Kluyveromyces lactis: one gene and its partners. The protein of the gene in region 3 interacts with the protein of the main gene of each other region in a biochemical or structural test. Links are inferred from orthologs where the notes say so. Each region holds a gene or a part of one and is shown on either strand. Other genes may lie near its edges. The genes, in order: APC11, UBA1 and UBC1.

Region 1 (2,439 bases), on a different chromosome or scaffold from region 3:
TACAGTTGCAGTTGCATAGTGTATTTTTTTTAAAGTCATTGGGTTTAATCATGCTTCTCTCTTTGTAGTAACAGAGTTTCACATTAGGGGAAAATCACGTGATAAGAGTGCTTTTGGGGAAAAGCCACACGATAGGTACCGCATGGTCGTGGCTTGCTGAAACGGTAGGTCAACGTACAATCGACGTGTGTACTGACGAACAAACATTGACTGCAACACGATACCATTTTACAATAGTATACTGGTTAGCTTATCGCCCTTTTTTATTGAACCAGTGGTTGTGTATTCTCACATGAGCTTGATCATCTGATTGTAAAAGTATCAGGTGTAGTTGTTTTTCTTACCCCATCAAACAAGAAATTAACAGCTTCTATGGCCAAGTTGGTAAGGCGCCACACTAGTAATGTGGAGATCATCAGTTCGACTCTGGTTGGAAGCATTTTCTTTTTTGTCTCATGTGAGCAAGAGACACCACCTGTAATATGGCCTCGCTACCTAGTATACTTAGCCCATCACTGATGATTTGAACCACTACTCTATCCTATTACCAATTAAATAGATGTACACACACATATCTTCAGCATATCGAGTCTTCCCTTCATCGTATGAAGCCATCATCCATCACATCTTGATCTATTTCACCACCACCCATCGGAATGTTGTGCTGTCTCACACTCATCAACAGTTTCTGGAACTCATCATGGTGCATCTTATTTATCAGAACGTTAGGCCTCAACTGGAATCCTTGTCTACACAAGGGACACAACCCTTTTGATGTTTCAGTACTTAGCCATTGCTTGATACAATGAACATGGAAATTATGATTGCATAATCCTAACACAATTGGACATCCGCTACCAGGGTAATCACAGGAGGGGCAAGTAGCATCGTACCGGTTACGACAGATCCCACACACTTCATATTCTTCTTCATCGTTCTCTGCATCCTCATCTTCATTCTGTATATCTTCCCATTTTTCCATATGTACCGTTTGATCTGCAACACCATGTTTCCCTTTCGATAAATCCTTGGGAATATCCCACGCCCAAGTGCTCACTAGACTGACATCTGTTACCTCTATACGCATAGTAACACGGGTGAAGTATCCTTATCGCAGGCTTTATCCTCGTCACAGTTCCCTTCGTTCTGTCTTTGTGTTTTCAATTCTTCCTATCTAATCCTTTCTTATAATATATTATACCCATATGCATAAAAGTGTCACAGGTTCTATTACAAATTTAATAAAGGGATCAGATCCACTGTAGTATAGTATACGAATGTTTATATATGTTATAGGCCAAGTTTTAAGTCGCAGCAGCAGCTTTCTTCACGGATAAAGTAGATCCGGCCCATGTCTTCAAGCTCTGTAATAATGAATTATCCTCATGTAATCCAGCAAATTCATCGCTACCACCACGAGATATACCATTGATAATAACGTTAGGAACAGTAGACCTTCCTGTCTTGCTACCGATATATTTCTGTAGTTCAGCTCCATTCTCATGCTTATCCAATTCAACGATAGTATAAATTGGATCAAATTCATACTCCTTCAACAAGTTCTTGAGCCTCGTACTGAAAGGACAGTAACTCTTAGAAAACACCACGATTGGTGATTGAGAAAGGATATTCTTGTACTCAGCTTCAGCGTTGTATGTTTCTACTTCAGCAGCGAAATCAGAGTCTTTCACACCGTTGGGCCCAGCCATATTTTTAACTGCGTTGCTGGTATCAGCAACAACCGCGTTACTCTTGGTTTCAGCAATACCTTCTTGGATATTGTTGATGTCACTCTCGACCTTGGCATCATTCGCGAGGTTGCTAGATTCTTTCCCCACGTAAGAACGCGTCACGGACTCTGCATTGTGCCTGATGAAGAAAAGAACGAAAATCACCATACCGGTGAGACTTACCAGCCTCAAACTTCTCTTACTCAACATCTCGTTTCAACAACGCCTGGGATCTGATAATCTATGAAAGTGTAGACAGACGGTGTGTCCAAAATCTAACGTGTCTTGTTCATATTGTTTCATCATTTTAAGGTTGTATGTGACAAGAACCAATTTCTTAAATAGCAAGAAATTTCACTATTTCATTCTTGACCAACAGCCGTATCATCGATAAATAAGAGAGAACTAAAGAAACAGGGGAAAGGATGGAATACCTATGGGTTTGCCGGACGCATTAAAGCATAAATAGTGTATAAATAATACTAGATACCACCCGCTATCCTGAATATATGCATATTTATATTTAAAACGGAAAATTTACTGGAAACATAACGCGTAAGATTTTAATTTGCGGGCAGATTAGATGTTGTTGAATTAATGATTGTTTTTATAAATATTATAGTATGATATGCGGTAAAGTCTGTATTAGAATTAAAATGAACGATAAGATCAGTTGTTAAAACAGTATTCTAAACTTCAATTAAAGAAC
Region 2 (4,259 bases), on a different chromosome or scaffold from region 3:
GCAAATCTGCAGCAGTCGTACTGTAGTTAAGCATCTTGAAAAGAACCACCACTGCAAACACCAACGGAATTGCAATGGTGGCTATCCTTCTCCAGTTATTTCTCTTGCCCTTGGCCATCTTCACACGGATAGCGCAAGTTATGAACCACTAATCAACACCAGGGCTCCCGCTCGTAGTGATATACCGTTGAGAGTCTAGCTGATGGAGGAATAAGTATGTATTGTTTATCATTGATAATACCATTTCCATAGTTGAAACACTCATTCTTAAAGAAATTCATTACCCGGATATATAATTTACTATACTTTTACTATACCTGGTTTCGATCATGCAAATAACGATGGATCCTCCACTTTGAAGCTCGAGATCATGTCCCGAAGCAACGAATAGGACGCGTGCACCCTTTGAGGTAGCTTTTCCGGTGAGTTTTGCGCAATTGCCTGTTCCATGGCCTTCAGTTCTTGTTCCGATGAGATAGGCACGTGAACAGAAATGATGACGTCGGTATCGAATTGATCCAACCTGAGCAATGCAACACACATTACTACGGTTTCCTTCATCGATTGTTTGCCCCACTTGTATGCGGTCTCAACAACGATACATGTCTGTGATTTGAGTTCCGTTTGCTCTTGATGGTCAATTACTGTCCATTTCTGTGATCCGTTGAGTTCTGAAATTTCTGCCAAATGGATATCTAACGCTTTTCTGTCATTATTCTCTTCCACACGCTGCATTAGGTCTACGATCACACTTTCATCGAACCCGAGCCCATCCTCACTAGGTTCATTCTCACGTCTGCTATTCACGAACACTTCCTGTGTGTCTGGTACTTGCCTTAGCATTGAAGCATCAAGAAACGTCTTGGGAATGACGGTGCTGATGGCACCGCCGTACAATTCTTGTCTGATCCAATGGGACATGGAAAATTAGATATATAGGGTTGTCAGACTGTGGGTAGAGTAAACAATCGCGCTGTCCTTGCCAGTCGAAGTCTCTCCCTCTCTCTTTATCTCTTGAGAAGGACATCTCGTCTTCAAGGTAAGGGAAAATCAAATATCACATTTGACGAACATTCAAATATTATGTGGTGTGCTGGTGTAAATGCATTTATTGTATGCAATGATGGCTTCAAGCATGCCAAATGGGTTTAAATCAAGTGATTACTGTCTCGTATTAATTAATTATTTACGAAACAATTTATATGGGCTCTTGGAACCATACTATCACCTCAAATGCTTCACTTTCTGTCGTATTGTATTCGAACATCTTCCATTCATATCACGTGACTGAAAACTCAACCACTCACGTGACCGAACCCAAAGTGGCAAAAACCGAATTAATAAGGCCAACAACCTATAAACAACTACAAACCAGTTTCCTTAAAACAACAATAGCAACAAGAAGTGAACCGTTCGTTCATTTTGATCACATTGCATCACAAGTTAGTATCAGATATGACGAATATTAAGGTTGATGGCGAAGAAATTGACGAGAGCTTGTACTCTCGTCAATTGTACGTATTAGGTAAAGAAGCGATGTTAAAGATGCAACATTCGAACGTTTTGATCATTGGGTTAAAAGGTTTAGGTGTCGAGATTGCCAAGAACGTTGTCTTGGCCGGTGTTAAGTCTTTAACCCTTTATGATCCAAGCGCTGTCGCTTTACAGGATCTTTCTACGCAGTTTTTCCTGTCAGAACAAGATATTGGGCAAGCTAGAGATAAAGTATCACAGGCAAAATTAGCCGAATTAAACTCATACGTGCCAGTGAAGGTGCTAGAGGGGCTAGAAGACGTGTCACAATTGTCTGAATTCCAAGTAGTTGTTGTGACAGACACGATTTCACTAGAAGAAAAGGTGAAGTTGAATGAGTATACACACTCTCACGGTATCGGTTTCATTTCTACGGAGACCCGTGGGTTATTTGGTAACGTTTTCGTCGATTTAGGTGAAGAATTTACCGTTATTGATACTACTGGTGAAGAGCCAAAGACAGGTATTGTTTCTGATATCGAGTCGGATGGTACAGTGACCATGTTGGACGATAACAGACATGGGTTAGAAGATGGCAATTACGTCAAATTCTCCGAGGTGGAAGGTCTTGAGAAGTTGAATGATGGTACTCCTTACAAGGTCGAGGTGTTGGGTCCGTTCGCATTCAAGATTGGTTCTGTTAAGGATCTTGGTACATACAAGAAAGGTGGTCTGTTCACCGAGGTCAAGATGCCACAGAAATTAACGTTCAAGTCTTTAAGGGAATCTTTGGCAACACCAGAGTTCCTGTACTCGGATTTCGCCAAATTCGAGACTACTGCACAATTACACTTGGGTTTCCAGGCCCTACATCAGTTCCAAGTTAGACATCAAGGTGAATTGCCAAGGCCATTTTATGAAGAAGATTCTAATGAATTAGTTAAACTCGTTATAGATTTAGCTACACAACAACCTGAAGTGCTGGGTTCTGAGGGGAAAGTTGATGAAAAGCTCATCACAGAACTAGCTAACCAAGCAAGAGGTGATATTCCAGGTATCGTTGCTTTCTTCGGTGGTCTGGTTGCTCAAGAAGTGTTAAAGGCCTCCTCCGGTAAGTTCACTCCTATTAAACAGTACATGTATTTCGATTCCATCGAATCTCTACCAGATTCTGAAGATTTCCCAAGAAATGCAGATACCACGAAACCAATCAACTCTCGTTACGATAACCAAATTTCCGTATTCGGTTTGGAATTCCAAAAGAGAATCGCAAATTTGAAGGTATTCCTAGTGGGTTCAGGTGCGATCGGTTGTGAGATGCTCAAGAATTGGGCTTTACTAGGTTTGGCTTCTGGCCCTGAAGGTAAAATTATTGTTACCGACAATGACTCAATTGAAAAGTCGAATTTGAATCGTCAATTCTTGTTCAGACCAAAGGATGTCGGCAGAAATAAATCTGAAGTTGCTGCTGATGCTGTAAGTGCAATGAATCCTGATTTGAAGGGCAAGATCGAGCCAAAGATTGACAAAGTTGGTGCTGAAACAGAGAATATTTTCAACGATGCTTTTTGGAATCAATTAGACTTCGTTACCAACGCATTGGATAATGTGGATGCTCGTACCTATGTCGACCGTCGTTGTGTGTTCTACAAGAAACCTTTACTAGAATCGGGAACATTGGGGACAAAGGGTAATACACAAGTGGTTATCCCTAACCTGACAGAATCTTATTCATCTTCAAGAGACCCTCCTGAAAAGTCAATCCCATTGTGTACATTGCGTTCATTCCCTAATAAGATTGATCACACTATCGCTTGGGCCAAATCCCTATTCCAAGGCTACTTCTCTGACGCAGCTGAAAATGTTAACCTATACTTGACGCAACCAAACTTCGTAGAACAAACTTTGAAACAAGCCCCAGATGCCAAAGGTATCTTAGAATCAATTAGTGATTGTCTAAACAATAGACCTTACAACTTTGAAGATTGTGTCAAATGGGCAAGATTAGAATTTGAAAAGAAGTTTAGTTATGATATCCAACAGTTTCTTTACAACTTCCCTAAGGATGCAACAACATCCACCGGGGAGCCATTCTGGTCTGGTCCAAAGCGTGCCCCTGAACCATTAGTCTTCAATATCGAAAACCCAGATCACTTCCACTTCATCGTTGCATCTGCTAACTTGCGTGCGTTCAATTATGGTCTAAAGGGAGATGATGGTAAACCAGACATTAACTACTATCAATCCGTCCTATCAAAGCTTATAGTTCCTGAATTTATTCCAAAAGCTGACATCAAAATTCAAACCAATGACGATGAACCAGATCCAAACGCGAACAACCAGCTTGGTGGCGATGTCTTAGAAAACTTGGCAGCTTCTTTGCCAGATGCTTCTACCTTAGCTGGTTTCCAACTAATCCCAGTTGAATTTGAAAAGGATGACGATACAAACCATCATATTGAGTTCATTACTGCTGCATCGAACAACCGTGCTCTAAACTACTCTATCGAACCAGCTGATCGTCAAAAGACTAAGTTCATTGCTGGCCGTATCATTCCTGCCATCGCTACAACCACTGCTTTGGTTACAGGATTGGTCAACCTAGAACTATACAAAGTCGTCGCTGGAAAGACAGATATTGAACAATACAAGAACGGGTTTGTGAATTTAGCTCTTCCATTTTTCGGTTTCTCAGAACCAATCGCATCACAAAAGGGTAAATACAATGATAAGACTTTCGATAAAATATGGGATAGATTCGATATTCAAGGTGATATCACATTAAG
Region 3 (2,693 bases):
TACACAAAGAAATTGACTAGAAACGCCATAGTGATGTTCTTTTTCTGTGTTGCCAATTTAATTTCACCTCAATTATGGCAAGAAAAGGACGGCCCAAGATACATCCCAGCATGGATCGTTCAAATTGTGCTATCGTTCTCCATTGCTCCATCGATTGCAATCGTCATCTGGTACATTCTAAGGAAGAGAAATCAAGAAAGAGCCATTAATTTGGAAGCTGAAGAAAAGAAGTTCGGTTTGATCGAAGTCAACGGTGAAAGCATCAAAGCTAACATCGCAATGTTGGATTTAACAGATCATGAGAATAAAACTTTCATTTATCCATTGTGAAAATAATAATGACGATATGTGTGTGTATGTATATATTATCCAGTTGCGACATTTCATATTGTAGCATCGTGTTTATATTAAATTGACTTTAATAATACCGGAATTGATTACAGAGAAAGCAAATAATAGTACTTATATATACGGTTTCATATATGATGAACACACTTCTTGGTTATAAGAGAGATAGTGTGTGTGTGTGTGTGTCTTGTCTTGTCCTTCTTTCCTGAAATGTTCAAGTCTGAACTTCTTGACATGGAACACTTATTCTTTTAGAAGCTCTTCTAAGATTTTATTGGCAGTTTCATTATCTTCCATGCTCATGCTCTTGATGTTTAACCTCTTTAAAACTTCAATAACGTTTTGTCTGTCAAATCCTTGATTGACAAACTGCGTCACCAAATCTTGATCAATTCCGTACAGATCTGCTTCATCAAGTTCTTGAACATTCTCTTCGGTACCTTTGCCTAGACTGTTGGTACCATTATCCCCTCCGTTACTAGAAGCATAAGTCCTTGTCCATAATGCTGCAGTCTCATCGAAGGATTTTTTGTCAGTCAAATAATGTTTGGCAACTTGTGCATCCTGTGGATCATTTGGTTCCGGTGACTGTAATAAAGCTTGTAAAGAAATCAATGCAGATTTCAATGTTATAACTGGAGTCCATGCATTCTTTAATATATCAAGGCAAATAGCACCAGTTACAGATGATACATTGGGATGGTACACCTTTGTGTCAAACTTCATTTGGGGTGGTTTATACGGATATTCCACGGGTATATTTATATCAACGACGAATTTACCTCCCTCGTATGGCGTTCCACTAGGGCCAATGAAGCTGCCCTTCATATGATGGATATCAGACTCATTGACAAACTTTAACTCAATTTGGGCCTCTGGATCCTCTTTCACCGCTTGGATTTCCTTCAAAATTCTCTTCGACCTTAGCATCCTGTTAGATTAATTGGTAATTCAGTGGCACTTTCAAATGCACCCGCTCCAGTTATTGGGTGTAATAAACCGTTCTCGAAAGATGTGATAACTATGAATAAGCACACGTATATATGTATGATCTTTTCTTTCCATACATTAATGGATGTTCAATCGTTTGCATACAGTATCATCAATGTTAATGGTATTTGATATAAGAAGTAGAAACTGGTGATGAGGGTAACAAAGACATGTTTCCCTTTCAACATAACTGAGTTAAACATCACCTATAAGATTATAGTACATTGGTATATACTGGTTCGTTGTGTATATTAGATAGAAGGTTCACGTATTATGTGGTTGAAGAGGAAGCAGGAAGTTGACTTTCATCGTCTTGTTCCGCGAAGTGCAAGAATGTGTGATCTCCCATCTTTCTTGGAGTGATAATCAATTTAATGACAAATATTACACCGAACAAGATTGCAATACCGGCCACGATAAGGTATACTATCCCTAGCGACATGTTTCTGCCACCGATAATACTATTTGTTGTCAAGATGTAAGATTTACTTCCTCCAAAGATCTGTACTGGATAATTTAACTCGACAGTGGTTTCGTAAGTACCCTTTTTCAACGTGCTAGTTTCGTTTTTTGCAGCTAGTTTATAGAACTTGGGTAGACCTGCAGTTCTCATCCATACTTGTAGTTCTTCCCATGTTGAAACGTCTGGAATATTATCATCAGTATAACCGTCTGGGTATTTTTTACTCCAATTTGGAGGAGGCACTATCTGAGAAGCGTTGTATTTCGTCTTCTTGTACCTCTTCCTATCGGTACTCCATGAAATTCCCTTGTTCGTTAACTCATATGAGTCGTTTTCGTTAGACGTGTTGTTCAAGGATAATGAAATGGTATCGTTAAAGAGGGAATTAGCGATTAAACCGCATGGATATATCGCCTTACCGTCAGATTCCTTGAGCGGTTTACACTCACTGACTAAGTCATCAGTATCCACTGCTTCACCTTTTAATTGCCTGATATCAAACGAAGAAACGTACTTTCTGTGGTTTTGGTAAAAGTTGGTCAATTTGTAATAGATGTAAATAGATTTCTTAATATCGTTTGGAACTTCAAACTTTAGGTAGCACTTGGTTATACCATCTGCTGAGTTCACTTTCCATTGGGGAGCAGCAGATGGCTTACCCTTGAAGTGGTATCTCACATATTTCGATGGGATGTTAATATAACTCCCTCCAGCTAGCGTCCGACAATCACTGTAGTCGATACTTAAATTTTGAACGTTATTGACAGTTATTATGAGCCCGATTCCGATTGGTGCAAAGATAGCCGCTACTATAATCAATAGCGGGAGAACTGACTGTGGGGATAAGATCGGCTGCCATGCTTTCAATCTCTGTTGCCTGAAAGCACTGTTT

What was found.
Region 1: the proteins of UBC1 (region 3) and APC11 form a complex in vitro, tested with the Saccharomyces cerevisiae proteins (3 studies listed by BioGRID). The link is inferred for Kluyveromyces lactis from reciprocal best matches to the Saccharomyces cerevisiae genes UBC1 and APC11.
Region 2: of the proteins of UBC1 (region 3) and UBA1, one has a biochemical effect on the other in vitro, tested with the Saccharomyces cerevisiae proteins (5 studies listed by BioGRID, with this or other methods). The link is inferred for Kluyveromyces lactis from reciprocal best matches to the Saccharomyces cerevisiae genes UBC1 and UBA1.

Annotation. Positions count from the first base shown.
Region 1 is NC_006041.1:1,570,420-1,572,858, forward strand, and holds APC11 (anaphase promoting complex subunit 11), read right to left. Parts: upstream 1,088-2,439; coding exon 599-1,087; downstream 1-598. Other genes in the region: KLLA0_E17733g (glutaredoxin), read right to left, coding at 1,305-1,940. UniProt on the Saccharomyces cerevisiae protein: Probably catalytic subunit of the anaphase promoting complex/cyclosome (APC/C), a cell cycle-regulated E3 ubiquitin-protein ligase complex that controls progression through mitosis and the G1 phase of the cell cycle.
Region 2 is NC_006038.1:1,252,852-1,257,110, reverse strand, and holds the start of UBA1 (E1 ubiquitin-activating protein UBA1), read left to right. Parts: upstream 1-1,455; coding exon 1,456-4,259. Other genes in the region: HOC1 (alpha-1,6-mannosyltransferase), read right to left, coding at 1-118; Ran GTPase-binding protein MOG1, read right to left, coding at 328-921.
Region 3 is NC_006039.1:1,653,372-1,656,064, reverse strand, and holds UBC1 (E2 ubiquitin-conjugating protein UBC1), read right to left. Parts: upstream 1,279-2,693; coding exon 592-1,278; downstream 1-591. Other genes in the region: YCT1 (Yct1p), read left to right, coding at 1-330; KLLA0_C18634g (CDC50/LEM3 family protein), read right to left, coding at 1,610-2,693.